7 linked regions of the Solanum lycopersicum genome follow. The protein of the gene in region 3 binds, or shares a complex with, the protein of the main gene of each other region. Links are inferred from orthologs where the notes say so. Each region holds a gene or a part of one and is shown on either strand. Other genes may lie near its edges. The genes, in order: serine/arginine-rich splicing factor RS2Z32, putative serine/arginine-rich splicing factor, serine/arginine-rich splicing factor SR45, serine/arginine-rich splicing factor SR30, suppressor of mec-8 and unc-52 protein homolog 2, U1 small nuclear ribonucleoprotein 70 kDa and serine/arginine-rich splicing factor SR45a.

What was found.
Region 1: serine/arginine-rich splicing factor SR45 (region 3) and serine/arginine-rich splicing factor RS2Z32 share a complex: the UniProt entries of both Arabidopsis thaliana proteins name them as parts of the spliceosome. The link is inferred for Solanum lycopersicum from reciprocal best matches to the Arabidopsis thaliana genes SR45 and RS2Z32.
Region 2: serine/arginine-rich splicing factor SR45 (region 3) and putative serine/arginine-rich splicing factor share a complex: the UniProt entries of both Arabidopsis thaliana proteins name them as parts of the spliceosome. The link is inferred for Solanum lycopersicum from reciprocal best matches to the Arabidopsis thaliana genes SR45 and SCL28.
Region 4: serine/arginine-rich splicing factor SR45 (region 3) and serine/arginine-rich splicing factor SR30 share a complex: the UniProt entries of both Arabidopsis thaliana proteins name them as parts of the spliceosome. The link is inferred for Solanum lycopersicum from reciprocal best matches to the Arabidopsis thaliana genes SR45 and SR30.
Region 5: serine/arginine-rich splicing factor SR45 (region 3) and suppressor of mec-8 and unc-52 protein homolog 2 share a complex: the UniProt entries of both Arabidopsis thaliana proteins name them as parts of the spliceosome. The link is inferred for Solanum lycopersicum from reciprocal best matches to the Arabidopsis thaliana genes SR45 and SMU2.
Region 6: serine/arginine-rich splicing factor SR45 (region 3) and U1 small nuclear ribonucleoprotein 70 kDa share a complex: the UniProt entries of both Arabidopsis thaliana proteins name them as parts of the spliceosome. The link is inferred for Solanum lycopersicum from reciprocal best matches to the Arabidopsis thaliana genes SR45 and U1-70K.
Region 7: serine/arginine-rich splicing factor SR45 (region 3) and serine/arginine-rich splicing factor SR45a share a complex: the UniProt entries of both Arabidopsis thaliana proteins name them as parts of the spliceosome. The link is inferred for Solanum lycopersicum from reciprocal best matches to the Arabidopsis thaliana genes SR45 and SR45a.

The regions. Positions count from the first base shown.
Region 1 is NC_090804.1:67,964,612-67,968,824, reverse strand, and holds the start of serine/arginine-rich splicing factor RS2Z32, read right to left. Parts: upstream 2,801-4,213; 5' UTR 2,693-2,800; intron 1,809-2,692; 5' UTR 1,804-1,808; coding exon 1,697-1,803; intron 1,279-1,696; exon of another isoform or gene 1,047-1,278; coding exon 1,007-1,046; intron 859-1,006; coding exon 763-858; intron 336-762; coding exon 139-335; intron 42-138; coding exon 1-41. UniProt on the Arabidopsis thaliana protein: Probably involved in intron recognition and spliceosome assembly.
Region 2 is NC_090800.1:76,026,055-76,030,020, forward strand, and holds the start of putative serine/arginine-rich splicing factor, read right to left. Parts: upstream 2,801-3,966; 5' UTR 2,675-2,800; coding exon 2,523-2,674; intron 1,035-2,522; coding exon 957-1,034; intron 1-956. UniProt on the Arabidopsis thaliana protein: Involved in intron recognition and spliceosome assembly. Probably active at the 5' splice sites.
Region 3 is NC_090809.1:751,335-755,356, forward strand, and holds the start of serine/arginine-rich splicing factor SR45, read right to left. Parts: upstream 2,801-4,022; 5' UTR 2,701-2,800; coding exon 2,468-2,700; intron 1,286-2,467; coding exon 1,211-1,285; intron 720-1,210; coding exon 631-719; intron 1-630. UniProt on the Arabidopsis thaliana protein: Involved in 5' and 3' splicing site selection of introns, and may bridge the 5' and 3' components of the spliceosome. Isoform 1 is required during flower petal development and isoform 2 is involved in root growth.
Region 4 is NC_090800.1:85,834,309-85,838,386, forward strand, and holds the start of serine/arginine-rich splicing factor SR30, read right to left. Parts: upstream 2,801-4,078; 5' UTR 2,700-2,800; intron 1,793-2,699; 5' UTR 1,746-1,792; intron 1,566-1,745; 5' UTR 1,561-1,565; coding exon 1,477-1,560; intron 843-1,476; coding exon 777-842; intron 183-776; coding exon 108-182; intron 11-107; coding exon 1-10. UniProt on the Arabidopsis thaliana protein: Regulatory splicing factor that modulates alternative splicing and gene expression in specific cell types. Autoregulates its own expression. Probably involved in intron recognition and spliceosome assembly.
Region 5 is NC_090806.1:9,685,499-9,689,487, reverse strand, and holds the start of suppressor of mec-8 and unc-52 protein homolog 2, read right to left. Parts: upstream 2,801-3,989; 5' UTR 2,585-2,800; coding exon 2,535-2,584; intron 2,438-2,534; coding exon 2,297-2,437; intron 2,214-2,296; coding exon 2,164-2,213; intron 2,055-2,163; coding exon 1,937-2,054; intron 1,581-1,936; coding exon 1,532-1,580; intron 1,433-1,531; coding exon 1,343-1,432; intron 828-1,342; coding exon 759-827; intron 671-758; coding exon 547-670; intron 1-546. UniProt on the Arabidopsis thaliana protein: Auxiliary spliceosomal protein involved in splicing of specific pre-mRNAs that affect multiple aspects of development.
Region 6 is NC_090801.1:64,630,852-64,634,543, forward strand, and holds the end of U1 small nuclear ribonucleoprotein 70 kDa, read right to left. Parts: intron 2,557-3,692; coding exon 2,475-2,556; intron 2,401-2,474; coding exon 2,253-2,400; intron 1,809-2,252; coding exon 1,740-1,808; intron 1,559-1,739; coding exon 919-1,558; 3' UTR 501-918; downstream 1-500. UniProt on the Arabidopsis thaliana protein: Mediates the splicing of pre-mRNA by binding to the loop I region of U1-snRNA.
Region 7 is NC_090805.1:50,114,495-50,118,448, reverse strand, and holds the start of serine/arginine-rich splicing factor SR45a, read right to left. Parts: upstream 2,801-3,954; 5' UTR 2,678-2,800; intron 1,796-2,677; coding exon 1,773-1,795; intron 1,699-1,772; coding exon 1,621-1,698; intron 1,548-1,620; coding exon 1,436-1,547; intron 1,273-1,435; coding exon 1,123-1,272; intron 741-1,122; coding exon 677-740; intron 592-676; coding exon 1-591. Other genes in the region: PCNA (proliferating cell nuclear antigen), read left to right, coding at 3,854-3,954. UniProt on the Arabidopsis thaliana protein: Probable splicing factor involved in constitutive and/or alternative splicing events. May bridge the 5' and 3' components of the spliceosome.

The sequences.
Region 1 (4,213 bases), on a different chromosome or scaffold from region 3:
CACGCCGAGGAGATGGTGAGCGGGAATAACTTCGGTCACGTCTGTCATTCAAAAACAAATAATAACCTTTAATCATTAAAGTATACTAGAACATCAAAAAATACACAGGGTGAAATAAGGTGGCAACTAGGAAAATACTTCAATTTCTTGGGGCTATTCTGACAGTTCCTTTCTATATGACCTCGGTCTCCACAGCGGTAACACTTGTTCTTCCAGTCCCCAGCTTTACAATCTCGAGCCCAATGTCCATCAATTCCACAATTAAAGCAACGACCAGTACCTGGAGGAGGACCTCTGCCACCAAACTCTCGAGATCCACCTGGACCACGAGGCACCTGCGATGCAAGTAAACTCCAACATAAAAAGGACAGCTTTTTGTTTAACCAATCTGAAGCATTAGATAGATTAAGGCGTGCATAACTCCTCAAAATACCAAGAAAACAAATCCTTGAAGCAACTTAACTACTTCAACGAAAGTGATAAACCAAGATCTTCTTTCTCCCCTCTGTGACATGCCAATTGTAGAGTAATATACTTATATTGAGAACTGAAGCATCATCTCGGAAATAATCGAGTTCCACCATATTTTCCCACTCATTGGGCATAAAGCCTGAAATTCTTTTTGGTTTTTCTTTTTTTGCATTGATATTCAAAATGCACATGTCCATGTGAGTGTAATTTGCTAGAGTTGCAAAAATAAAACATAAAGATACTATGCATATTGCAGTTACGAACACATATCAAATCCAAACTTTTACTCACCCCTTTGGCGAACTCCACGATAACACGACTTCCATCAACATCTCGCCCATTTAGGCCGTATCTTGCATCATCGGCATCTCGAGGATCACTAAACTCCTAGATTTAGCAGTATATGAAGAAAAGAAAGAAGCTTAAATCACAAATATATGAAACAAGGATTAGATGATCACCCTACAACCCTAAGAAATATCATTAATGAAGAAGTGAACAGAAAAGGAAAAAAAGAAGAAGAAGAAAGGCGTACCACAAAAGCATAGTCACGCTTCATATCCACATCACGTACTCTGCGTAAATGGGTTCCAGAAACAGTAAGGCCATCAAGTCATAAGAACCAAAGGGTTGATACTTCGCCCCTCAAAGATGAACTAAACACCACTTTTTGGATTGTGCCATTTCCATCAAAAAAATACGCAATAACATTATAGAAAGAATCGCCACACTCCGCAAGAATGGGAACCAATTCATCAAGGGCAACCTCCCACCACAAACCTCCGGATTGGGCAAAAACATAGAAACCTTCATAAACATTATTCGAGTTAAAAACACCAAGACACGGGGTGTTGCTCTCACATTTTCTACAAATTTTAAAAAAATAAAACAAAGGTCACTGTAACGACTAGTGTGTCTCATCTCCACCCCCAAAGAACAAAGACTGTGAACTACTAGAAGCAACATCATTTCTAAAAAATGATCACAATAAAATAATCACCAAGTACAGCAATCAATCAATCAACACCTAATACCAGACAAGTTGAGATCAACCATATGAATCTTTTATATCTATTCTACTCTACTTAGGCGTATTTCATTCCACTAACAAAATTAAACAACTAAAAGCTCAATCTTTATCCTCTTGGAATCTCAATATTCAATTACTCAAATTTCAATAACTTTCCGATCACTGCATAAAAGTAATGAATGGTTAAAAAATTACCTCCCATATCTGCTAAAGACGTCCTCCAAGTCTCGAGATCGCGTCCGGGAAGACAAATGTCCAACATATAGGCGTGTGCCACCATACCTGTCATCATACCGCGGCATCTTCTCTGAAACAAACTACCCAATTAGCTCCTCTCCTAATTATACTATCTCTTAACATAAATTTGTTTTTAGCTCATATACTTTTTTTTCCAAATGAATTCAGCACAAATGAAAGCTCAATAAAATATCAAGCGAAATCAGAACTAAAAAAATGCCTAACGAATGAACTATCCGAGTCAAAAAGGAACATATAATACAAAATTTCATGATAGCGCATCTTCCCGGATGAAACTACCCAATTAGCTCCTTTCCCAAATTATATGATCTCTTAATCATTAAAAATAGCTGTATTACTTTTTTCCAATGAATTTAACACAAATGCCAGCTCAATAAAACATCAAACGAAACTACAAAAAACACATATAATACAAAATCTCATCAAACCACTACATCTTCACTGAAAGTAACTACCAAATTAGCCCCTTTCCCATATTATATGATCTCTTGAACATAAAAATAACTCCTTTACTATTTTCCAATCACTTTAGCACAAAATGCCAGCTCAATATACATCAAACAAAACTAAAACCAAAAAAGGCATCTTGAATGAATTTTCAAAGTCAAAAAGCACATACATATTACAAATGCACATCATACCAAAAGAAACTACCCAATTAGCACGTATATAATAAAAACAGCTCAATTACATTTTTTCAAATGAATTTAGCACAAACGCCATATCTATATAACATAAAACAAAACTAGTAACAAAAAAAACACCTCTTTACGGAATATTCCGAGTCAAAAAAACACAAAATTTCATCCAAATTACTCGGAATTAATACCAATTTCTAGATGAATTATGCACAGGCACATATATTATGATGAAGAAAGCTATTTTTATCAAAAATATATGAGAAAAAAGGGTTTTGAATCGCAAATCGCTTACCTGAAAATTGAAAAAGGCACAGAAATGTAAGAACCCTAGATCCAATTCGTTCAAAAGAGTATAGCACAGTGGTCTCTCTCTGATTTATATACTAAAGTTTGGGCCTCAACAGCTATGGGCTTATTGTTATGTTGTTTTCATGGAGTGGGCTTCTAACTCTAAGCCCATTTGAGTTCTCTCCCAAATGTGAAACCTCCTCCTCTTTTTTCTTCTCTCGGGCGGAAATCGGAATGCACGAATATTCGATTTTGATGTATTCATCTAATCTATATCGAAATTAAGAAATTACAAGTTTATCGTTTATTTAGTTGTTGTTGGATATAGAGAAGGTATACGCTTTTCCACCTGAATCCTTTTCTGCGCAGTCTACCGTTTCTGATAACAATTCATAAGAAAGAGAACGAAAGCAAAATAGAATGAAAAGAAAAGAGATAGAGTTCAAACGTTTTCCATCACAGGTACATAAGAAATGTTTGAATTCTTTTCCCAGTGGAAATTCCATAAAGTGCGAGCCAAGATCCATTATACGAAAAACAAAAGCATTATGAGTAAACACACGAAAATCTTGATGTATTTCTCACTCAAACTCAGACAATAGAAAATTATAGTACTATTTTGTTTATATATATAAACTAAGAATCTGACTAATTGAACGTCAAACATTTATTAAGGATAGCTTCTCACTATACACGTGATTGACAATCTCTTTTATAAAACGCATGAATTAACACGTGACACTAAAACAATTAAAAAAAAAAAGAATATATCTGCAAATTATATGTGCGCCTTCCTTCACTTTATTCATGTATATCGATTTGTATTTATTATATTTGGTACTATTGTAGCTATTTAAAAGCTTTTGTCAATGTTCATTTTTCTCATCTCATTTATTTTTGTGATATTCAATTATTCTTCTAAGCGAAAATTGCATAATATGAATGAGAATTTTTAATCGTTGTATTGATTAAGTGTCTTTCGTATAAATAACGTTATATATAATCTATTCTAAAACCATACATTTTATCTCAAAAAAATTGAATTAGAAAACATAATAAATCAAAAATGTTAAAAATTCATAATTCAGATTTACGAAATCAATAAATTAACCATATATTACACAACAACATCATATTAATATTCAGTCACACAATTGAGACTTGAAGGATATATATTATAATATAAATAAAGATTACTTATCCACTTATGATAAAAATATTATTTCGAATACATCCTCTCTCGACTCAATCATATATTATAACATCTAAAATGCGAAAAAAAAAAAACTCAAACACGACCCCCCCTCCCCCCCCACAAATTACGACCCGAATAAGTCAATCGGGTTGAATTTTTTTTCGACTGAAAATCAAGTTACGCCATATATATACACACACAAATCTCCGTATTTCATTTTCTCTACCGACGTTAGTTTCATAAATCAAAAATCTCTTCTTTAACATTGAATAATTCTGTGCTTCGAATCATATATTATACTGTAGTTCCTTACCAAATCGATATCTGTAA
Region 2 (3,966 bases), on a different chromosome or scaffold from region 3:
AAAATATCATGATGAGCTCACATTGCAAGTTGCCTGGTTTAGACTCAGTCAAGAAGGAGGGTTGCAATATGCTGACTGTTAATGTAAAGCTTATCAATTTATGAAAGTGAGGGAAAGCTGCTTGCAATGATTTGGCCAGATATGTCGTAAATCTCTAAGATGTAAAAGAGAACGAGGTAGACTTGAAAATATGGCATTAAATTGTCTCCAAAAAATGTATATTCTAGAGCACACACGAAGAGAATATTACAAATAAGTGATTTTAAGTAGTCGAGATTAAAGCTTAAACTTGTTGATAAACTCACCTAGTCAAATATTTGTTAGGGACTCTGAAGTTGTGGTGCAAAATCTGTATGTAAATAAAAGGTGTAGACAACATTCATTTATTGATATTTGAATGAGACATATATACCAGTGTTTTCAAAGGTGAATTTAAAAGTGTTGAGCCCGTCGCGTCGCTTAATGTCCGTTTCACTTTATTCATCAAGGTTCCAAGACATACTTTTCTTTGCCACTGAGCTTCTTTGAAAAGGTGACACTAAACAATGGACATTTCACTTTATTGTGATAAATATTTTCAGCTTTTTTGACCATATAATTATCATTCATGCTTCTAGCTATTAGTCTTAAACTAAACATATATATTTTGTATTGTTTACCCTTTGCGCCTTTTTCCATTAAAACTCACATTTTATTAGCGATTTGTGCTACAAGCCCCAAACACTCAGAGCTTTTTGCACTGTTTGCTTTTGACGACACTGGTCTATACGAGACGAAAAGGATAGTAAGATAATGAAGATTCATACTGCCAACACTAACTAGCTAGGTATCAAGGCTTAATTGTGATGTTATTGATCATGGTGATATCAACAGATAACGGGACATAGAGGAAACAGATTCATTACTTGCTAAATATAGTACAAAATGAGAATCCATCTATCAAGGTAATGGCATACCCAGTGTGATAATTCTTGGGAAGATAAACATCTCTTATGGGACCATAGCGTTCAAAGGGGACCCTAAGATCTTCTGGCCTGCAGAAAAAGTACAAAATGATTAACTTTGTATCAGGTTCAAATCCCAACAGATACAGAAGAAAACTAGGTGATTCTTTCTCTGTCCACCCTTGGTAAATAGAGTTACTAAGTATCTGTTGCTAGTGGGATGTAGCAGATATCTTGTGGAATTAGTCGATGCACGAAAGCTACCTCAGAGACCACGGTTATTAAAAGAAAATAGCAAAATTTGATGAGAGAGGGAGAGAGAGCAAGCCGTTAATGAAATAGAAATGAAAACTACTCTACCCAACCTAAAGAAAAATTGGGTGTGCAATCTTTTATTAACCCAAGTTCACTGATAAGCAGAAACCACTATAAAAAATATGCAATTTCATTTCTTTTTTCATATTCTATAATTACAAAAGGTCTATAGCCATCTGACAAATAAGTAACTTTATAGCCCATGTGTATAAATGTATGGAGATAAGATAGCTTATTCCTCAACATTAGCTTTTAATTGTGATGTTGAGGAATTAGCTTTTACGCCCAAGACTTAAATTTTTATGTCCAGGACTTACGCTTGGATATATGTTTTAATTTACACCCCAGAGCATTTTTGGTACGCCCCGCCCCAAGACTCGCCCAAAAACGTTTTTGAAAACACTGGTTCTTACATAATATTTTTTTTTGTCCGACACTGAGTTGATTGATTAATCAATCAATTCATAATTATCTTTTGCAAATTCAAGTCAAAAAGATGAACTTAAACAGGTCATTGATATGTTGTTCTTTAGATCCAATATAGCATAGTAAGTGTTGGAAGAGTGCTAATTTGCCAATCGATCCAATTATTTTGACGAAGTTATTCCCTAATTTACTATGAGAATAAAAAATGTATTTGATGGATAATATAATTCAAATCAGAGTGATGTTGTTGAGATAAGTTCAGGAGAACTTTTATGGTTTGAGAGGAGCTCAAGTTGAAGGATGCAAAGCTCTTTCGATTTTGAGATGTCCCAAAATATTTAACACCATTCTATCCATTCAATAAAACTTTCAAGAACTCCAATTTATTTGTTACATTATTATTTCAATAGATAACTTTGATCTGAAGTTTTCTCTATCGAACCGAGCTCTCATAATCAAAATCATTATAATATATACAAAGAAGGATTAGTATGAGGACTGAAATAACTCAAAAATCAAATTTTGGTTGACAAATGCATGAGCTATTAAAGGCCTGTATGAAAGAGACTCATTGTTAACCAACATACCTAGAGAAATAATAACCTGAAAAGCACAAAAGGCATAACACTTGAAAACTCCCTTAAACGCCTAATAAGCCATTTACTTCAGACAAAGGCATGTTAAGCATTTCAATCACTGAGATAGGGAAACTGTGACTTGCATATGAGTTCACAACAACAACAACAACAAATGAGAAAGAGAATTGCCATAATTTATGTTAATGTTTGGGGGTGGGGTAGTATCTGGACCAGGTAAAATGGGGAAGAGGATTCATACCTGGCGCTAAGGGGGATATTACGAACGAGAAGGCCAGAAGGTCCCGGAGAGCGACGTTCTCGGCGCCGGTCACGTGGTTCATCGTGGCGTTTACGTCTCACGGGACTGTAACTTCTGCTAAGGCTCCGACTACGGCTTCTGTACCTTCCCATTACCCTCGTCCTCTCTCTGTGAAGAGAAAATCCAAAACCCTCGTTTAATTTACTTGGAATTGAAAACCCTAGCTCACCTCTCCGATTCAGAGAAAAATAAATTTTTCCTTTATTTTTGAACTAATACACAAAACGCCCCCTTCTTTCATGTAAAGCATATAATAGGTCCTTACGAGAGTTCTTGGCCAAAAACATTTTTAGATAATTTGAAAGTTAATAATTTTTATTTTTTCATTAAATATGGTCAAAAAACTAAGGAATTTTATAAAAATATGAGTAGTTCATCACGTGACTATTAACAAATGTCTTATCTTTCAGTAACAAAAAGAATTTGGAGCTTAATTATCTTTACCTTTTTCAAAGTTAAATGGTATTTAGATCAATAAATCTTTGAGTCAATCTAATATTGAAGTGATTATGTCTTGCATTTGAGTTTCGTTCTACATTATTAAAAGTGAAATATCCAACAAACGTCGTTTCTAATCTATTCAATTGAGAAAAAAAATATTTCAACTAATATAATTTTTAACATCAAATTACATGAAAGATAAATGAAAACAACAGTCAAATTAAAAGATTTTGCATAATGCTAATTTTAAGTATCGAAAAAGTTCACGATAATATTTTTAGCGTATCTAAAAATTATAATGGCAAAAGAATGACTTGATTTTTGTGAAATTTGTTAGTTTTATGATAAATTCAAGTTGAAAGATGAAAATTAAATGTTATAACTGTAGTTTGATTTAATTGTACCACATAGCAAACTATTGTTATTTCACCTCCCTCCTGGTGAATCTTGCTCGCCACTCTCGTTTTTACCCTCGCCTCTCTCGCTTTTATAAAAACACAAATGTATAAAATGCGTTTGTGTTTTAATAAAGCGAGAGAAAATTGTATATATACATATATTTTCGTTCCCCTCTCCTAGATCTCGCTCGCCACTCCCCAGTTATCGCTTGCTCAATCGCCTCTCTCGCTTCATACAAAAATGCAAATGTATAAAATATGTTTGTGTTTGTATAAAGCGAAAGAAAATTGTATATATATATATTTTCGTTCCCCTCTCTCCTCTCTCCCAAATCTCGCTCGCCACTCTTCTGGATCTCGCTTGCTCAATTGCCTCTCTCACTTTATACAAATGTGCAAATGTATAAAATGTGTTTGTGTATGCATAAAGCGAGAGAAAATTGTATATATACATATATTTTCGTTCCCCTCTCCCAGGTCTCGCTCGCCACTCTCTCGGATTTAGCTTGCTCAATCGCCTCTCTCATTTTATACAAAAACACAAA
Region 3 (4,022 bases):
TCCATTTTGTACCCTATCTTCTATAATTGTTATTAAGCATGGTATTTACCAATTGCTTAAAGTTACAAATAGTCTATAGTCATGGTTAATAACCACAACCAACTCTCTTCTCTTGATCTCCTAAATAACAATTAGCAAGATTTGATTGAATTATTATTTGTACCAATCTCTGTGGAGACGATCTTTATGCTATACTATCTTTGACTAGTGAAGCGCTAGATCTATAGTTCTTTTTTTTTTTTGAGAACATGAAGCGCTAAATCTATAGTGTGTTTGTGCTCGTCAACTAACTCATAATAACAGGATTAGACTAGAACGTCTGACATATAACCAGGCTAAATAAACAGAATAAATAGAATCTATAACCAAAAGGTTGGACCATTTCACAGTAATGAACTAGAAGTTGGCGTTCAATTCTTTGGTTTTAGACTCTTCACTTGTTGAAGTACCAAATACCAAACCGAATTTCAGTTCTGTTAGGTTCTTCTGTATGGACCTGATATAATGGGCTATTTACCCTGGACGGGCTGTTGGGTTATCAGTTGACAGTTACAACCCTAGCTTAGTGTAGAATTTCTACAACTCAGGCAAAATAAACTTCACCTAATCAAAAAGAAGTGCAGAACATACCAAATATTTCTTTCAAATGGTTTTCATTGACATTCCTGCTGAGTTGATCCACATGAATTACACGCGACTCAGGTATAGGAGATACTTTCCTGGAATCAGATCCCAAGTGTTACACATCAAAAAGCCTATCAATGCATATGTCAGAAGTGCTACATGCAGTAACATTTTTGCATCATCAGAAGATATTGGTATTAGTAACTATCTTTATCAACTGCATCCAAAATGGATGTGATGCATAACTGAATGTTGCACCAACAGCACGCATGTCTGAGTAATTGGGATGGAAAGGAATTGAAGAGCATTCGAAATCATTTATGAACAATCGTGTCCAGCTGCAATGCATTCTCCAAAAAAAGATCTGATAAATGCAACTGAGTCCACATTCAAAATAGCTCACAATAACCCAGCACCCTACTGTATGTTAATTTCATTTGGAAGAGGAGAAAAACAAACCAAGAAAAGAAAGGTATCCCCCCCCCCAAAAAAAACAGAAATTTGGATGTTATTGGAAGAGGTTTATAAGTAGTTATTCAATGAATAAACCAAAGTCGAATCTCAGCTTAAAAACAAACAACATTACCTTGGAGGTGGAGAAGCTTTCTTAGACTCTGGTGGTGGTGGCGGCGAGCGGCCTCGCTTAGATACTCCAGCAGGGCTAACAAAACCATATAAACAATAAAGGATAGGGTTTAGGATCATTCAGAAATAGGACGATTGGTGAAGTACTTTAGCTATTTTGCAAGATAGAAAACTAATAGAACAGCAACATTTCAAGAAATTTTCATGCTAGTCCAACCTGTCTAAGCTCAATAACAAATAAACAAAAATATATGACGACAAAAAAGAGGCCAATCTTCAAGATTAACCATAGTATATCTTGTTTCCAGTTTTCTATTCCAGTCATGTGCCTACCTCAACTTCTCCACAAGCAAGTACCTGCTACCTCACGTATCGGATGACTCTGTCTATCAATACTTAGATATCTAGCTTAGACAGATGGAAAGAAATAAATAACATAATGTCTTTTGTCTCTGTTGGATTTGAAACTTGGTCTCCAAGATTTTCGCCCACTTCTTTCACCACTGTGTTACACCCTTGAGTTGTGTTTCCAACTCTATTTTATACAGTCGCGGAGGATTGAAATCAGTTTCTTGTTGTCTAAATGGAAGAAAGGCAAGAAAAGCAAAACCGATGCAACCAATATTCTAGTTTTGCTACTTGCATGTTGGAATAACTTAAGAAAAGCAGCAGGAAATGCCATAAATTATCAAATATAAGCTATCTGCACTTGCAGAAGCGAAGTGCAGCAGAGAATTATGTCACATGGCCCAGGAATTAGAGGACACAGCTTAACACTCTTCAGACAGTGGAAAGGTATGGAACAACTATGAATTACATAGCAAAAATAGCCTCTTGACCTATATAATGTTTGAGATGCAAAACTACAGAACATATATCCATTCTATATCTAACCAGACGACAATCAGACTCAGATTCAGCAACTAGCAATTTTAATGCGACTTGGTGCTACTTGTGCCCGACTCTACTTCAACCATAAGACTTTTCTATGTCATAAACCTCGCAAATCTAACATAATTCAAGCAGCCATAAGCACATTAACCAACAGCAGCAACTACTTCACCTCAATTCAAAGAAGTTAAAGCATATTTGGGCTTATTTCTCCTCTATAGTTTGCAAGTTAACTCTCCGACATCAGACATTCTGATGGCATACGAATCTCAAACTACCAGTATCACGTAATAAAAAAGAAAAAGCGGGAAATTACTACAGAAATGCATTATGCAACTAATACACATTTGAAAGAGAGAGTAAAAACCTTTTTCGTTGAGATGGAGGGCGACGACTAGGGCTGCGAGAACTTGCACTCCGGGAAGCAGAGGAAGATGAAGAAATTGATCTGGAGCGGGATCTAGATCGAGATGGAGAACGCGAACTTGAGGAGCGAGAGTTTGAAGGAGTGTAAGAGCGAGACCGGGAACGGGAACGAGACCGGGAACGAGAAGACGAGCCTGACGGTGAAGCCGCACGGCCTCGACCTGGTTTCGCCATTGGCAACAGCTTACTCCGAAACCCCAGTGATAAACCCTAATAACAGAGAACTGTCGACAGAGTACATTTGGGCAAAAAGGTTATCAGCTTCTAGCCCCGAAAAACAAATGGGCCGAAGTGGGCTGTATCCCCAAAGAGTATTCACTGGGACTTACGAGTCGTTTGATAGAGTATACATTGATCGTTTAGTAAAATATTTTGTAATAATTGGATTAGTAATATTTAGATATTGTAATAATTGGATTAGTAATATTTAGATATATTTTTAATTATAATTTGATTAAATATACTAACAGCAATTCTGTTCTTAATCATGTTTATTTATGTATAAATAGTTTTTGTATAACTAATACGATAATTTACTACTTTCTCTATTTCAAAAAAAATGTCCCTGTTTCTTTTTTAGTCTGTTTCAAAAAGAATAACCCCTTTCCTTTTTTAGTAACACTTTAATTTTAACTTTTCACGTGGTATATTTAAAACCACAAGATTAAAGGGCATTTTGATACATTTGACATAATTTTAATTTAGAATCACAACATTAAATTTTTTTTTTCTTAAACTCCGTTCCTAGTTAAAGGCCTTTTTTTTTAAAACAGAAAGAGTATTATTTAGTTATATACCATATAATACTAAATAACATAGATCAATCATACATAAACTTAAAACCATACTAAATAAAGAATTATTAATTAACAAATGACTATACACATACTAAATTTCCTAATACACTTGCCATTTTGATTTTCTAATTCTAGTTCGTACACATTTAGACAAATTATTTGTTTGCATTTGGACTAATACCACTTTAATAATGTTGCGCATATCTCGATCAATAATTATCAACTATATTCATTAAGATTTGAACAGATAGAAAAAAAATTTGATTTGAACATGAAACTTCAAAGTAAAGGTTAATGTATACAACAAGTAATATAAAGTCGAAGAGTTTGAGATAGTTGAGAGACTTTTTTTTGAGGAAATGACATCCTAAAAAGGATGTAATTTGAGCTATAGGAAACCATTACTTAATGCCAGCCACCACACAGCAAATTATGGCTCACAACAAAGATCAGTAAACTAGCCATTATATATACATTGTTTCCTTAATGTGGACTATGTATGACATACAGATAACAATCAAAGCAGGGACAGCAACAAGAGGCAATGACTCGAATGTCCTTACTCTGGTTGAGCGAAAATGAACAAGGTCTTAACACCACGCGTACTTTAGGCTTATAACAGATGAAGCTCACGAAGTTCAGAAGTAGTATAATCAAAGCACATACAGAGCTGTACAAGTATATTTCTCGTAGAGAAGT
Region 4 (4,078 bases), on a different chromosome or scaffold from region 3:
CAAGTTCAACCTACAAAGATAATTATAAACAACAATATGGTAAAACGATCCGACTTCCCACATCACCACATCACCAAGAGAGGAGGGGAGGGTGTGAGACAACTAACTCGCAAGCGATGCCCGTCAAAGTCATAGCCATCACGCCCACGAATGGCATCATCAGCATCACGAGGATCTTCAAACTGGAAAATACAAAAGGAATGACACCAATTAGATCTATCGGAAATTCTGTAGCATAAAGAAACGCATGCAGAAAATTGAGCTATCTCCCAATACAATAAGGGATTGTTTGGTTTAGAGGCCACTTACGCCAGGATTAGTAATGTAAAGATTAAGAATACAAGGATTGCATAACGCAGATTATTTCTTGTTGGTATTTAGTTTGATCAGGTTACATATTAATAGTATATGTGTATAATTTTAAAACATATGTTTGCTTTTAAAAAAAAAGAACTATTATGAATGATATTCTTGCCATTTTTAAATCCATGTATTACATTACAGATACACATATTTTTATTTCTCATTCTATCCCACATAAAATGATTCCTGCATAACTCATGCATGTATTATTATAACGAAAACAAAAGGGAACAACTAGACAGTGTATTAAGTAATTCTTGCTTTTCTGTGGAGACTAAGATCAAACTCCAATCAAATATTGTGTAAACTAAAGTTGATTTTTATGTGGGGATATATCTCCAAAACCCCTAATAGAATGATTCCCAAGGATAAAACTAACATCTTAGTGATTCAACTCTTAGAAAAGAACTCACCTCTACGAACGCATAACCAGGTGGTCTAGGTGGAACTTTCAAATCAATTTCCACAATGGGACCATACTGCAGAAAATCACCGAGAAAATTCAGAAGGTAAGTGAATACACATCAAAAAAATCCATAACTTATAATATATCTCAAGGAAACCTACCTAGGAATCAACCAAAAGCAATTACATTACTTAACATAATGACAGAAAGACTTGAGCAATAAACTTAAAACATGTCTAATTTATATTGCATTGCGAAGTTGTGTGGCTTCTCTATTAGGAAAAGAACACCAAAAGTACCAAATTAGATGGCTTTCAGGAGCTACTTCGAAAACTGAAAGGCCGAATGAGTACTGTGACAATAATGGAAGCTCACTGAATAGGTCCGAACCATTGAAGAGATTAAACTTAAATGAGGAAAAAACAAGTATTCTCACACTCTAAAAAAGCAAAAGAAGATGATTACGCTTTCATTAGAACGTGATTTGGATAAAAGGAGCAACTTATTTCCCTCTGTGTTAATCAAATTCGTTCATCCTCCGATCCATCCAAAAATACAACTTCTCATGAAACCTATTGTAGCTTTTTTAGGTGGCATGAACACAAAAGGAGCAACAAATTGAAGGTAAATGTATAGATTAGTGATAGCGAGCACATGAAATTGGATACAATGTATTTTTCCAGCAACTAGTAATTTATCTAACTAACCTTGTAAAACAAATCTTCTACTTCTCTCTCCCGAATATCACCAGGAAGATTTCCAACGTAGATAGTCCGACTTAGACGACCCATATTGCCTGAAATCATTACCCAAAAAAATAAGCAGCTTGTTCAAACATTGGAAGTGGTAATGTGGACAATTCTTTTTAATTTATCTAGTAAAGTAAGATTTAAGTGGTAATGTAGACAGTCAAGAATGCAAATAAGAGAAGTTTATTTCCTTTTTCTTTTTTGGTTTGGAGGGAGGAGAGGCTTACCAAAGTTGACTGTAACTCATCCGTGAAAGACTTAAGGAATGGCCAAACTAAGGAAGGATAAAACAAAGAAGAAAAGTAAAGTAACATCGCAACAAAATACAAGAAGATAATCTTAAAACTATAACAGTTCTTGATTTGTAAAAGAAAAGCTTCTAAATAAAGAATAATGTTACAAACACCAAAATCAAAATGAAGTTTTATAGAATATAAGAATCCAAGTAGCAAAAACCATAAATTTATCAATCTAAATCATTTTTCTACATAAAGAATAAGTTACGAACACCAAAATCAAAATAGAATCCGAGTAGCAAAAACCATAAACTTATCAATCTAAATCAATTCTTAAAGATTATGCTCGTCAGCAATAGTAGTCACATCTAACATCAGATATACAAAGAAATAACTTCCGAAGATATTTTCCAACAGGTTCCATCAAAAGGGAGAAATAACTTCCGATCATTTATGACTCAACTCTCAAGTCATTTTTCTTGCACTTACTATCAACATTTATACCTAAAAGTTTCATCAGAACAATACCAAAATTTTTAATATTATGGATAGTTAATATCTAATACTAACTTTTAGGGAAAATAGTCATCACACCAACACATACGTTAGAAAATTATTTTCCATTAAAAAAAAAACGTGCCAAACACTCAAATAACCGCCGATTAATAGTACGGGGAGACGGAAATCAAGAAATTCAACGAAATTCTTTACTGATAGGTAATCCTTTATATATTTAAACTGTTCTTATTATAAGCTCTTGATTATGATCGCATAAAAAACAATAGAAAAACCCTAAAGATTCTTCAAGAACTAGGAAATCAAAAATTATGTGTGACATAGAAAACAGAATTTTGCATAGACAAAACAGAGAAGCAATGAAAAATAATAGCATGTTATTTTGACCTAATAAATTGTATTAGGAGAAGAAAAGGAGAAGCAGCTAACCTAGAAGATATACAACGACGACAGGTTGCGTAGAAAGCAAAAAATGGAAGAAGATTAGAGTTGATAAAATAAATAGAAATAGTTTTATATATAGGAGAAAAAAAGTCGCTATCGAACGTTACGTCTAGAAACTTTCCTAAATCTAAACACGTCGATACATGACATCTGTCCTAGGACACTTTTGAATATTTTAATGATAAAGTAACTCATAAGGAATAAGATAAGTGGGAAATAAAATATACTTTTCCAATGGTGGTTATTTTTTCAAAAACAAAATCCACTGCATATGAGAAATCAAATATGCAAAATACGTGTTTTAGGATTAGATTATAATTATTCTTCTCTCACCTATCTTTCGATTTTATAATAAATATAGGAGAGTAAATTTTTTTTTTCTGAATTAATAGTGTTCAATAATTTGTCAAGAATAGCATAGTAAATTTTCTTGTTGTTTTCAACTATTTGATAATTGATCCTTCTTCATGTGTCTTATCATTGTTATCTTAAGCAAGTCCTTAGAATTAAAGGTTAATATTTAATTAATATAATAGATATCATTAATCTACAAATATAAAATTAATTATTATTTAATGCCATAAGCAAACACCAGCATAGAAATTCTTAGAACCAGAGGCATATTTAGGAGGGGTTAGTGGGTTCACGTGAATTCATGTTCTTTATTCTTAAATCAAATATAGTAGTGTTATATTAGTTAAAAAGTACTTAATTATAGATGTGTAAATCTATATTTGAAACGTCATATAGTGTCGTGTGATGATTAGATGCACGTGAATTTAGAAATTTGAACCTTTTATTTATCTTGTTTTGTTTTTCTTTTTAAAAATTAGGTAAAGTCTCTTATCTAAGTGATTTGGATAGATAAAAAATAATTTTATATTTATATTTTTAAAACTTTAATAATTTTTTAATACTTAAAACATAAATACCAAACTAATCGAACTTTTTATTTTAGATTCACATTTTCTTAATAATACATTCATAATCTAGCTTAGAATATACGCATAATGATTGGTTAAGGGAGAGGATGGTGAACTCTTATAAAAGGATAAAAATATAGCATAAGCAAGTAATGAGAGCACAATATGATCAAACAACTCAATTCAAATGGTTACAAATAGTTTGAATAAAAACTAATAAATCTGACCATACAAGTCATTCATATCAATTTCTCCAATTGCCGCCCACTAATAAGAAACGGTTAGAACAAATGAACAAGAATAATAAAATTACAAGGAATACAAAATAATTTTTGCTTGGTTTAGAGACACGTTAATACGTTTCTTGAAGATAGTTAGAGTCTTTCCCATGAGCAATCGGAATAATAAATAACAACTCTATCTTTGGGATTCAACTAAGCC
Region 5 (3,989 bases), on a different chromosome or scaffold from region 3:
AGAAGTGCAGCTCCTTATCAATGAAGAGAAGAGATAACTCACCACCAACAAAAGAACAAGAAAAGGGCAAAAGGGACCCCCTCCCCCAGCTCTTCATTAATGTACAGGTGACAGAAGAAGATCCAAAAGCCCAGAAAAAAGGAAAAAGAAGCAAGGTATACTTAGTGTTGGAAACACATAATAAGGACTCCAGAGAACCAAAATGCTCTTTTTTAGTCTCCATGGAAATACAGAATCATACTATATCTAGTTATCAACTACCTTCACACTCAATTACACCCTGTGCCCCGGTTTCAAAGAAGAATAACCCACATTCTATCCCGGCTACAAAACATTCTATTGTACTTCTTTATAGGAAACCAGGCCCAAACTCACTTTCGTAAGCAATAATATTAATAGGCCTACCAAGGATGCAACAACACCAGTCGGAAATTAGAGAAAAGGTTCCCATAAAACAAACTGGATATATAAGAATCTACATCACATTGTGACTCTAATTACTTTCAGAAAATACAGTAAGGTTTAGAAGGCACGAACGCTAAGCACCTTTGCTATCTTTTTCCTTCTTCTTCTTTTTGAGAACTTTTCCTGATGATCCAAGACGGAGATAGGACATGATTTTAGCTATTCGGTCTAGAACAGAACCATCAACACTGACTGTAACCATTTCCTGAAAAATATAGATGAGATAACCCATTCAGATGGAAAATTCAGGAAGAAATTGCCTGACAGTAATGCAGTATGGAAAAGGGAAATACCTCGAGGACTGGACAGTCAGCTTTGCTTCTGTGTAGAGTTGTAGGAATATCATTGGAGTATCCACTATCCTGCAATATACACATCAACCATAAGTGAAGAAAAAGAGAGACCGTGAAAGAAAACATACACACAGTAACCGCAAGTGAACAAAATCTTCACATCTTCTTCACTATCCATATTCCATATGACACATCTGATCACCAAACATTTTAGTAGTAAAATAAATCAACTTCAACGATTCTAGCATCTAATTTCCGACAACACCCTTTCCACCTTCCTCCAAGAAAAAGAATGGCCTTCAGAAGGAAAAGACTATTCACCCCCGCCATACAAGCTAAACTCTAGCGTGACATCAACAGTTAACTACAGTTTTGCCCAAAAAAAAAAAGTATGATCCAATATAGAAATAGAAGCTTCTCAGCTACCTATCACAAGTACAAAATTTTGTTTACTATTACATCTCAAGTCTAAGCGCACTATAAGAGGACTCAACTAATGGTCTGTGAAATAATTCCTTTTCAGGCAAGTAGAACCTAGCATACACAACACATAAGAGCAGAGGAAGTATAAAAGGGAAACATACCATATTAAAAATAAAAGCCATCCGTCCAGGAAGAAACATTTCGTTGGTCTTTATAACAGTCTGAGGCTTGATTATCCATTGGTATACTGACTGAAACCCCAAACTTACTAGTCACTCTATTGAAACATAACTACACCAAGCAACAACTAGAAATATTTGAGACGAAATCAATTGAAAGAGTTAATGCACCTTGGCAGTTGCAGTACGGAATGACAATTGATGATCTTCCTTTACACCTCTATTAGCAAAAGGGATAAATAGAATAGTTAATCGAACAGTTTCCAGCAGCACTGCTTCTTAGACATGGTGTTCAAAAGAACAATTCACTAAATATGCTCATTACTTTGCATATACACAAAAAGATGTTAGCAGAGTGTCCCTAAATCAGGGTAATCTATGGAAGAACATATAAAGGGGCATCTACAAAAGAACTCCCTATCTAAAGCTACAGTCTTATCCAATGGGAGCTACACATGGATCAACTTTATTAGCTGAAAATTACTAACAGGCTCTTGGAGAGTCAGTTACTTATTCCTGGGGTTGAAGTAAATGAGTCATACATACAACTAAGCAATAAAGTAACCTAGTACTTACCTAGCTTTTCCTTCTAACGCCTCATCTCCAGTTTCTGGCTTCTTATCTATTTCACTTCTCACTTTGTGAAGCAAAGCATAATCTAACCCTTTAACCAAATGTGTATGTTCCACATCACCTAATTTACAATCAGCCAAAACAAGGATTGATTAGCTGAAGCCATATATCAAGAAAACTGCTGAACTGAAACTAAAAAATATTCTTGTACAACCACAGACTATACGAACCTCCAAGATACTTGCTCTTCTCAATAGATAATTTCTGAGCATCAGCAGAGCTGTAAAAGTTCAAAACAAGAAAGTTAGAACAAAATTAAACGAAGAAAAAGAGAAATGGGTGTTTCGTTTTTTTTTTTTTTACAGGAGATCAATATTCCCGGGAGGAGCAACAGCATGAAAACCACCAAATTCAGTGAGTTCATAATCAGGATTTTGATCTTCTCTCCTTTCTTTAGCTCTGTCTCTGTACTTTGGTAACTCCGGTTCTTCAACCTTCTCTTCTCTGTAACAAAAACAATAGAAAAATCCCCCATTTTTCAGCAAATTAAAGAAGGATCTATTGAGATTTACATAATCGAAGATGAAAGAGAGAAACAAACTTGTTGCGACGAACAATCTTTTCCTTGTGATTTCGCTTTGAAGAAGACATGATTGAGACCTTATTCCCAAAAATTCCAGATTAGGGTGAAACGAGCGAAGAAGACAATCAACCTCATATAAACATCCCCAAAAGACTAAAATAACCCTAACTTCCTACTTTTTGTTTCGATTTATCATTATTCGATTTGTGAAGATAATCAAATCAATAAGATATACACTATCAATTTTTAACTAATTGATTTTGACAATCTAATGAGCGCGTTTTTTATTTAATCGATAAGAAAATGGTGTTATATATATATATATATATATATATATATATATATATATATATAATGTCCATCTAATACACTTAGGGGTCGTTTGATAGAGTGTATAAGAATAATGCAAAATAGGGTGTATTAGTAATGCTTGCATTAGTTATGCAATTATTATTTTTTATACACTGTTTGGTTTGATGTATTAGAAAAAACAAATCTTGCATAATTTCTATTTAAAAAATGTATGTTTACAAAAATACCCTTTACACTTTATTTATTTTTACACTTTCTTTGCAACAAGGTTCTTTGTTAAAACATCAAAAAAGATTTCTTTGCTAAAACATTATTTATTCCTATTCTTCTTCTTTTTCTAATATAAAATTAAAAAATTGTTACTACATTAAAATAAGATTTAAAAAGAACAAGAAGAAGAAGATGTCAAACATCTTCACAATTTTGCCACCATACGTCTCAAATAGAGGAAGTAATGTCCTCTTATTTATATTTTTTTATTTGTTGATATATCAAACTCTTGTATATGATCCATTGTCTTTTTCTTAAAAAGGAAAAACGAAAAAGAGAAAGGCTGCATGGTCTTCTGGTAACTTTTTGTGACAATTCCTTTTTGATTACGATTACCATTGCACTTAAACTTTACAAAGGAGATTTTTCGAACAATTTATATAAAAAAAAAAACTAATTACATAAGGACTCTATTTGCTGGAAATCTGTCAAAACGCGGCTGGGTCGACGAACCTCGCGACGGATCGTCGTGGTCACGATGGACCGTCATGGACTCCGTCATCCCATACTTGTTCAATTTCTTCTGCTGCTCTCTTCATTATCCTCAACGACAGATATGACGGATCGTCACAAGCACAACGGTCCGTCGAGGGTCTCCGTTCCAAAACACTTAAACTCTTGGAATTTGGGTACTGGACTACTTCTCTGACCTTCATGACGAACTAGCAGGACGGATCGTTATGAATACGACGGTTCGTCACGCACTCCGTAACCTCACATTTGGTTAGATTTCCCCATCTTCCTTCAGCAGCTGCACCACGATGCCACCTACGGACTGTCGGAATCTGGACAAATGTGGTTCTATTGATTTTTTTTTTGATGAAGTAAATGTGGTTTTATTGATTCAATGTTATGTTATTTGTGGAGAATCTTCACCAATTATTCATCACC
Region 6 (3,692 bases), on a different chromosome or scaffold from region 3:
CATTTTAATTATGTAAGGGAAATAGATTAAAGGGCCACACAGACATGTAAATCGTGTTGATATAAATGTCATTTATATGAAACTCTTTTTACTCGTACAAAACAAAGCATGCCTTTGAACAAAGTCAGTAAGGCGTACTTATTGGTAACTACTGAACTCCAAGCATTTTCTATTCAACATTTTATGTAAACGAACTATACTTCTTGGCTATCAAAACTCTGACCATCCATAAATATACAGAGCATACGACCCAGCAAGGTAGAGACATCTCACTCAAAACTCAAAGACCTGTGGTTAAAGGATAAGAACGAAATCCATTTCACACATTTATAACTACTTTGAAGCCTGAAAGACATGATAAAGATATCCCTACAATTTTCTAAATAATTTAGACGCTGGACAATTTAATTAATTTATTATTATTCTACAGGATTCCAGCCCCCTCGAAGAAATATCAAGACTATTTTGATCATCGGATATAATACCCAAAAACAGATCCATAATAAAGTGCCACAATACCATAACATAAGCGAATAATCTGTTCAACATACAATACCACATAACAAACACATTACCGCGCACACATCCCCAATAAATTCGCATTTAACAAGTCACATTAGAACTCAGCAAGTAATTTACCAAACAATTCCAAAAGAAGATACAAAATTCAAAACATGGGCTGATGCGCCGCATCATCATCTTTAATGTTTCCATCCCCGCACTAGTCAAGTAGGTAATCCAACAGATAATTGCATTTTCACTGAGGTATCAGTAGGCCATGTCTTCCTGTGAGTCAAAAATTCAGACAAGTCTAATGCAGCAATATTATTGACTGACAAATTAAAAAGTACCTACATAGCATGTGGATTTTATTGCAACCTTACCACAGCAACACAGGCTGAAGCATACTCTTCATCGTCAGTAGTCATATTCACGAGAATGTGACCTATCTGAACGCTTGTAATCCCGATCCCTTTCTTTTGTCTCAGATGCCCCGTGGTCATAAGCATAATTATCCTCTTCCATTTGATCATAACGATCATGACCACGACTGGCATCTTTATAGCGATCATCCCCACCTTGTGCATCTGGATTCTCATAATCTCCTCGACCTTGGTGGTGATCATAATAGTCATAATGTCCATGATCATCTTCAGGTTCTGCAGGATCATAATTCCTCTCTTTGTCACCGTGTCGGTCTCGCTCGTGTTTTGAATCAACATGCTCATAATCATATTCTCTATCACGAGAACGCCCACGACCCTGGTCAACCTCACCTTCATCCCTACCTCTTTCCCTGTCCTTCTCACGGTGACGATCTCGCTCACGGTGACCATCCCGGTCTCTGTCTTTGCCTCGCTCACGGTCACGTGTCCTATCACGTTCGCGGTCTCGATCACGGTCACGACCACGATCTTTTTCTCTTTCTCTGGTTCTCTCGCGTTCCCTATGATGTTTGTCATCTCTTTCACGTTCCCTTGGCCTGTCATGAGAACGCTCACGAGATTTCTCTCTGTCCTTATCTCGCACCCTTTCACGGGACTTCTCCCGATCCCTGCTAATATGGGAATTCATAATTGTATTAGACGTGAAACACATTATAGTATTAACTCACATTTAAACTAAACAGAGTAGTAAATCAGACAACTCATCCTTGGAGAAGTAGAAATTTGTCTGGGAGTCAAATTGGGAGAAAGAAACTCAAAGCAAGCATAAGCTATAAATGCCTAGGTTGTTACCTATCCCTGTCATCTCGTGCTCTTGGCTCCTCAGAGCGAGATGCTGCCCTTCCAGGCTGAACCACCTCTCTGAAAAATAAAAGGAGTATTAGAGTCTTCAATAATTAAAATTCCATCCAAGAATTTAAGCTTTTCACTTTTACAATCATACCAAGAGGGCAACTACACAAAAAAAAAACTACTTTTAAGAACATTTTACGAGTAATTATCAAACTGAATGCCAAACAATAATAAATTCAACTTCTAAGCAAGACGTCATACATAAATGCTCAGAGCAGCAAGTCCTTTATAGGGAAAAAAACACAAACTGAAGCATCCATATAACCCAAAAGATGAGTTGAAATTCAAAAAAGCAGTTCATGTCAACTACAAGCAAACATGTCTTGCTGTATCTATCAAAATAGCGTTCTTACTCCATAGACACTACAGGAACCATTATTGCACTAAAGAAGAGCTGAGATCAATGTCCGTTATAGCACTATGCAATGCACATATGACAAGTTCATGCAATACCTAGTAGCATCTTCATTTCCAACTCTTGTTGTTCCAAGTCCACCACCAAGTCTGCGGGGACGCCAATTGGGGACTGTTCTACCACGTTCTACATCAACCAGCACTCTTCTATTATCAATCTTCTTTCCATCAGCTTGTTTATACGCAGCTGAATTATATCCAAAAGAATTAGAGATGGAAGTGAGACTTCGAAAAGACAGAAGAACAGGAGTTTAGAGAAACCTTTCATATCCCGTGTATGCACATACTCAATGAAAGCATAACCCCTGGGTTTATTGTTTGTCTTGTCCATAACCAAGCGAACCTGAAACTCAAACAATTTATGGAATTGACACTACTAATAACATTATAATCATTTTCGATGCAGCGGTCAAAAAAGTTAATGTTTTTTATCTACTCAACGCGATTAGGTATAGTAAGCTCCTAATGGCACGGCAGGCACTATGCCTAATTAGCCGTGCTCACCTTTGAATCAAAGAGCTCCCAGGCGAGATGCTTCACCATCACTGCTAGAGTTGCACAAGAACTGTGGCCTTATGTTTGCAATATATTCTAACTCCCCTTACCAGGGAACATTTTAAAATAAAATAAATTATTATAGAAGTATAGTCAAATACCAGGTGTCTCCTGAAATGCTTGAAACTTTTTTGATAGCCTTTGAATCCAAAAGTAAAATCTTAGCAGCATAGATGGGATGTAAGAAGAGTAAAGAAGAGAAAAGGTCGATACTCCCAACAGTTTTTTTACCAAGTAAAGGCAAGTATCAATCTCCGGTGTTGCTTGGAATAAGAGGCCAAAGATATATTGCATCATTGCTCTGCTCATCTAAGTGTTCAGCTTTGTTTCATGTAATGTAGCTCGGACTTGGAAATTGAATGGTTATGTTTGGCAACTCAAAAAAACATAAAGCTACCAGATAATTAAGTTTTACCCTTACCAGGAAAATACCTAGGAGTTGAACATCTTTACCTTTGTGGTTCTAGAAACTAAAGGAATACCAGAATGAATAGTACTTGAAACTAATGATATCCAAACCAGGATAAGAGGATAAAGGCATCAAACTGATACTCAATAATTGGAGTACTGTTACCTGAGGAAGGGCATACTGGCAATCTGACCTTTATTTTACAAAGCAAAGAAAAACTAGTAACTTCACAAAAAAAATCACCCATTTTCAGAGAGCAGTATGCACCTCGAACACCAGGGAAGAGTGCTAGCAGTTTAAAAAACAATCCATTTCTTAACTACAGCCTGAAGAGATGCACCCAAAGATACAATTGAAAAAAAAGTTCTCCGGATAAAACGTGTTTTTTGATGATCTGAAGCACTAAGAAAGTCGAGAGCTAATCAGTTTATTATTTAACAGACAACTGCCGAATTCAATAAGTTCTTATCAAAATACTGAAGTGCAATCCATGCTATAAGTTTATACACAGAATG
Region 7 (3,954 bases), on a different chromosome or scaffold from region 3:
AATAGCTCCTCTTTGACCACCTAGGTGATACACTGCGCGAGTAGCTTCTCCGATACCGAGGAGAAATGCTCCGAGAAATGGAACGATATCGGTTCCTTCGATAATAGTAACTGTTGTTCGGAGAGTAGTCGCGATAGCGGCTCATTCTGTTGTCACGAACATCTGGAGAGTCTGAAAGATCATGGCTTTCAGGAGAGTAGTCACGGTAGCGGCTTCTTCTATAGTAACGGTCATCTGGAGAATAGGAACGATCACGCCGATGATTGTCGGGAGAATAGTCATGGTAACGGCTCCTTCTGTAATAACAGTCATCTGGAGAGTAGGACCGATCACGCCCATTATATGGGGATAAAGATCGAGAGTAAGATCTTCCACGACTATAGTAAGGAGAATAAGGTGATTCTGAGTAGCAGTGGTGCCGACTGTAATACGATGAGTGAGATCTCTGGCGTCCTCTGTAATAAGAGTATGATCTATGCTCTTGTCGGTAATATGGAGAGTAAGACCTGCTCCTGCTCCTGTAGCTTTCAGATGAGTAACAAGGAGAGTGATTCCTTGAATAATGAGGATAAGTTCGTGATTCACGACGAACTACATTTACAAGGTGGAAATTAGAAGACATCACAGACAAATAACCCAGGTCAATTATTGCTTAGGAAAGGATACAATATCATACCGCGAACAGTTCTAAGCCCCAAATATTTTCCTGGAGTAGGTGTTCTACCTCTTCTCCTCCTGGCCTGCATAGGATACAATTGTCAGACAGCAAATCTAGACTCTGGCAGGTTGATGCAATATAACAATATCACGATATAAGTAACCAATAGAAAATGAACAATAGCAACAAGGGCGCAGCTGAATAAAGAAAAATGAAGGCTACAACCCTCTGGTTGACAGTCTGTTTGCTTGATGTGTTTTGATTTGTTATTTGGACTTTGGTGAAGAGCTGCTACACACAGCTACCTTGCTGCCAAAGAAACTCAGGCGAAACAAGCAAACAACTTTCAAACTGATCAAATTACTGAAGCAAATATAAGATATTGATACAACTGAGAGCTGATACCAGCGAAAATTGCAAACATAAGATTCAACAAAACTGAGCAAATATTCAATAAATTCTACCTTCTCCACGGTGATAACTCTGCCTTCAAGTATTGAGCGATTCAGAGACTTGATGCAGCGATCAGCCTCCTCAACGCTGGACATCGTCACGAAACCAAACCCACGAGATTCGTGGGTCCATGGGTCTAAAACAAGACGAACATCTTCAACCTAACCAGAGAAAAAAGCATTTAATGAGGTTGATATCCTCGACAATGTGAACGCACATGGGAGCAAATCCTACGGAGTTCTTTTCTTTTGAATAAAGTGCAAAAGACCTAAATGAACTGACTACAGAGAACGGGAAGGCAATCTGAAGAAGCAACAAACATACCTTCCCCTCAGCAGAAAAATGCTTCTCAATATCTCGCTCCTTAACGCGGGTTGAGAGACCAGTCACATACAAATTGTTCCCTGGGTTCTCAACATCACTTGAATCACAGCTCCTGCCATTATAATAAAGTTAAATAACATGAACTCTAATTACCACCATATTAATAGAACATTGCCAACATGTACCTTGACCGACTCCTTGAAACACATCTGGACCTTGAGACAGACTTGCTATATCGATCGTATGAAGGTGAGCGAGAATACCTGCAATATAAATGTCATATTGAACATGACTAGGAATAATGACCATATAAAACCCATATTAAGACCAACAATACCTTGACCTCCTGGAGTACGACATCTGCAGTTAACATCAAACAGAATGGTAAGCTTAGGCTAATAATATTGAGAAGAAAGACGATAAAACAGGGTGTTTTATCACAAACCCAGCAGATATATAGTAAGTAAAACCATCAAATCAAGATCACTGATTTGTCAAACAATACAAAACTAACCGATGCAGACAATATAATTCCTCTAAATCGACTCTGCCTCACTCTGTCTACTCCGTTTCAATAACGGAACATCAATTTATCTTTTGATTTAAATTAAAGGTTTCCTAATTCCCATCTTATATTCTCCTCTATTACTTTACCTTTTAGCTTCTAGAATCCCAGCAATCATAAAAGTAGAAAGTAAAGTTCTCCTTGGTGATTAAAGGATAACAAACTATGCGATAGGATCATAGTTTGAAATTTGTCAAACCAAGCAGACAACAACAATTAGCTACTGATAAAAATAGAGGCGGATCAAGTACTTAAAACTTTTATATAAGGATAATAGAACTGAACCAATTCCACTTTTATGCTTTAATTCTGACTTTAAATCTATAACACTGGTAACGCTTTACACATCTATATATATTTATGCTCCCGTGGATGTACTGGAATTCAAAAGGATCAGTGTGAAAAGCATTAATTGCTATATGTCAAAACAACAAAATCACAAATCAACTCAAAGACAAAAATACACAATAAACCAAAAATCGACCGAGACTGTTTAGTTCTCTATGTTCTGGGCAAAAAATGAACGGAAGAATCATCTAATCCGCTTAGGTAATAGAAAATTCAATTTGAATCAAACGTTGATGCCGATCACAAACGCAAATGACATACAATCTCATCAGCTTTTTAGCTAATTCGTATCGAAGAAAGGAATTAAGAGATGGAAAAAGAAGACTCACCGTGAAGAGATTATGGTAGCGTAGGATCGAAATACTTCTCTTTCTCTCTCTAATTTGCGAAGGCTCTCGAAATAAAATGACTCGGTTGGGAAAGGCTTTCTACTATATACCTGTAGCGTAAAGAAGTTTCTAGATGAGGGACACGAAATCCTTTTTGATTGGACTTGAATTTGTCACATTATTCTACCAAACCAAAAAAAAAAAAAATTGTTTCTATCCATATTTAAATGGAGAAATTTTCGTATATAGTCATTTAAAATAGCTAATTACTCTCTATAACTATAGTTTAATAATTATAATTCGTAACTATGTGTTATATGGAGGAGAGAAACAAGCGAGACCGGAGGAGAGAAACAAGCGAGACCGGGAGAGAGTGAGAGAAAGGTGAAATATACATGTATATCATTTAGTAATTGTATATTATACATATGTATTTGTATATATGGCAAAGTGAGAGAATGAGAAGAAAGAGAGAAGCGAGCGAGACTAGGAGAGGAAGGAGAGAGGCGAGCGAGACAGGGCAGAGAGTGGGAGAGAGGTGAATTGTATGTGTGTGTAAATGTATGCTATACATATACATTTGTATATAGGGCAAGCGAGATTGGAAAAGGGAGGAGAGAGGTGAGGGAGATTGGGAGAGTGAGGAGAGAGGCGAGCGAGAGGGGAGAGAGGTGAATTGTATATATATAGGTTGAATAATTATATATTATACATATGTATTTGTATATTCTGGCGAATTATACATATACAAACGTGACTATTATACAAACTCAAAATTAGTTCACGTAATTAATGTATAATATTAATTACGAGTGATAATTATAGTAAATTATAACTATGATAAGTAATTTTAATAGTATAAATCTATTTTGTTGCGTAATTTTTTCTATTTGAATATGAGAGATTAAAACCCAAGGCCTTTCTCGAAGCAGGCCCAATTGATTTATGGGCTCAAGTAGCCCAAAATCAAAATAATGGCGGGAACTTATTTTATTTTCTGACAATTCATTTCCCGCCAATAGGGAGCCCTATATTCTCGAGCACACTTTTCCAGCAGCTATATAAACCCTAACCCCATTACTCCACTCATTTTCGCTCTATTTTTCATTCAGACACCTCTGTTTTCCCTCCTTCCCCATTTCAAAACCCTAACCCTAGTTTCCCGCAGAGGACAAAATGTTGGAACTACGTCTTGTTCAGGGAAGTCTGCTGAAGAAAGTTCTAGAATCGATTAAGGATCTGGTGAACGATGCGAACTTTGATTGTTCCGCCACTGG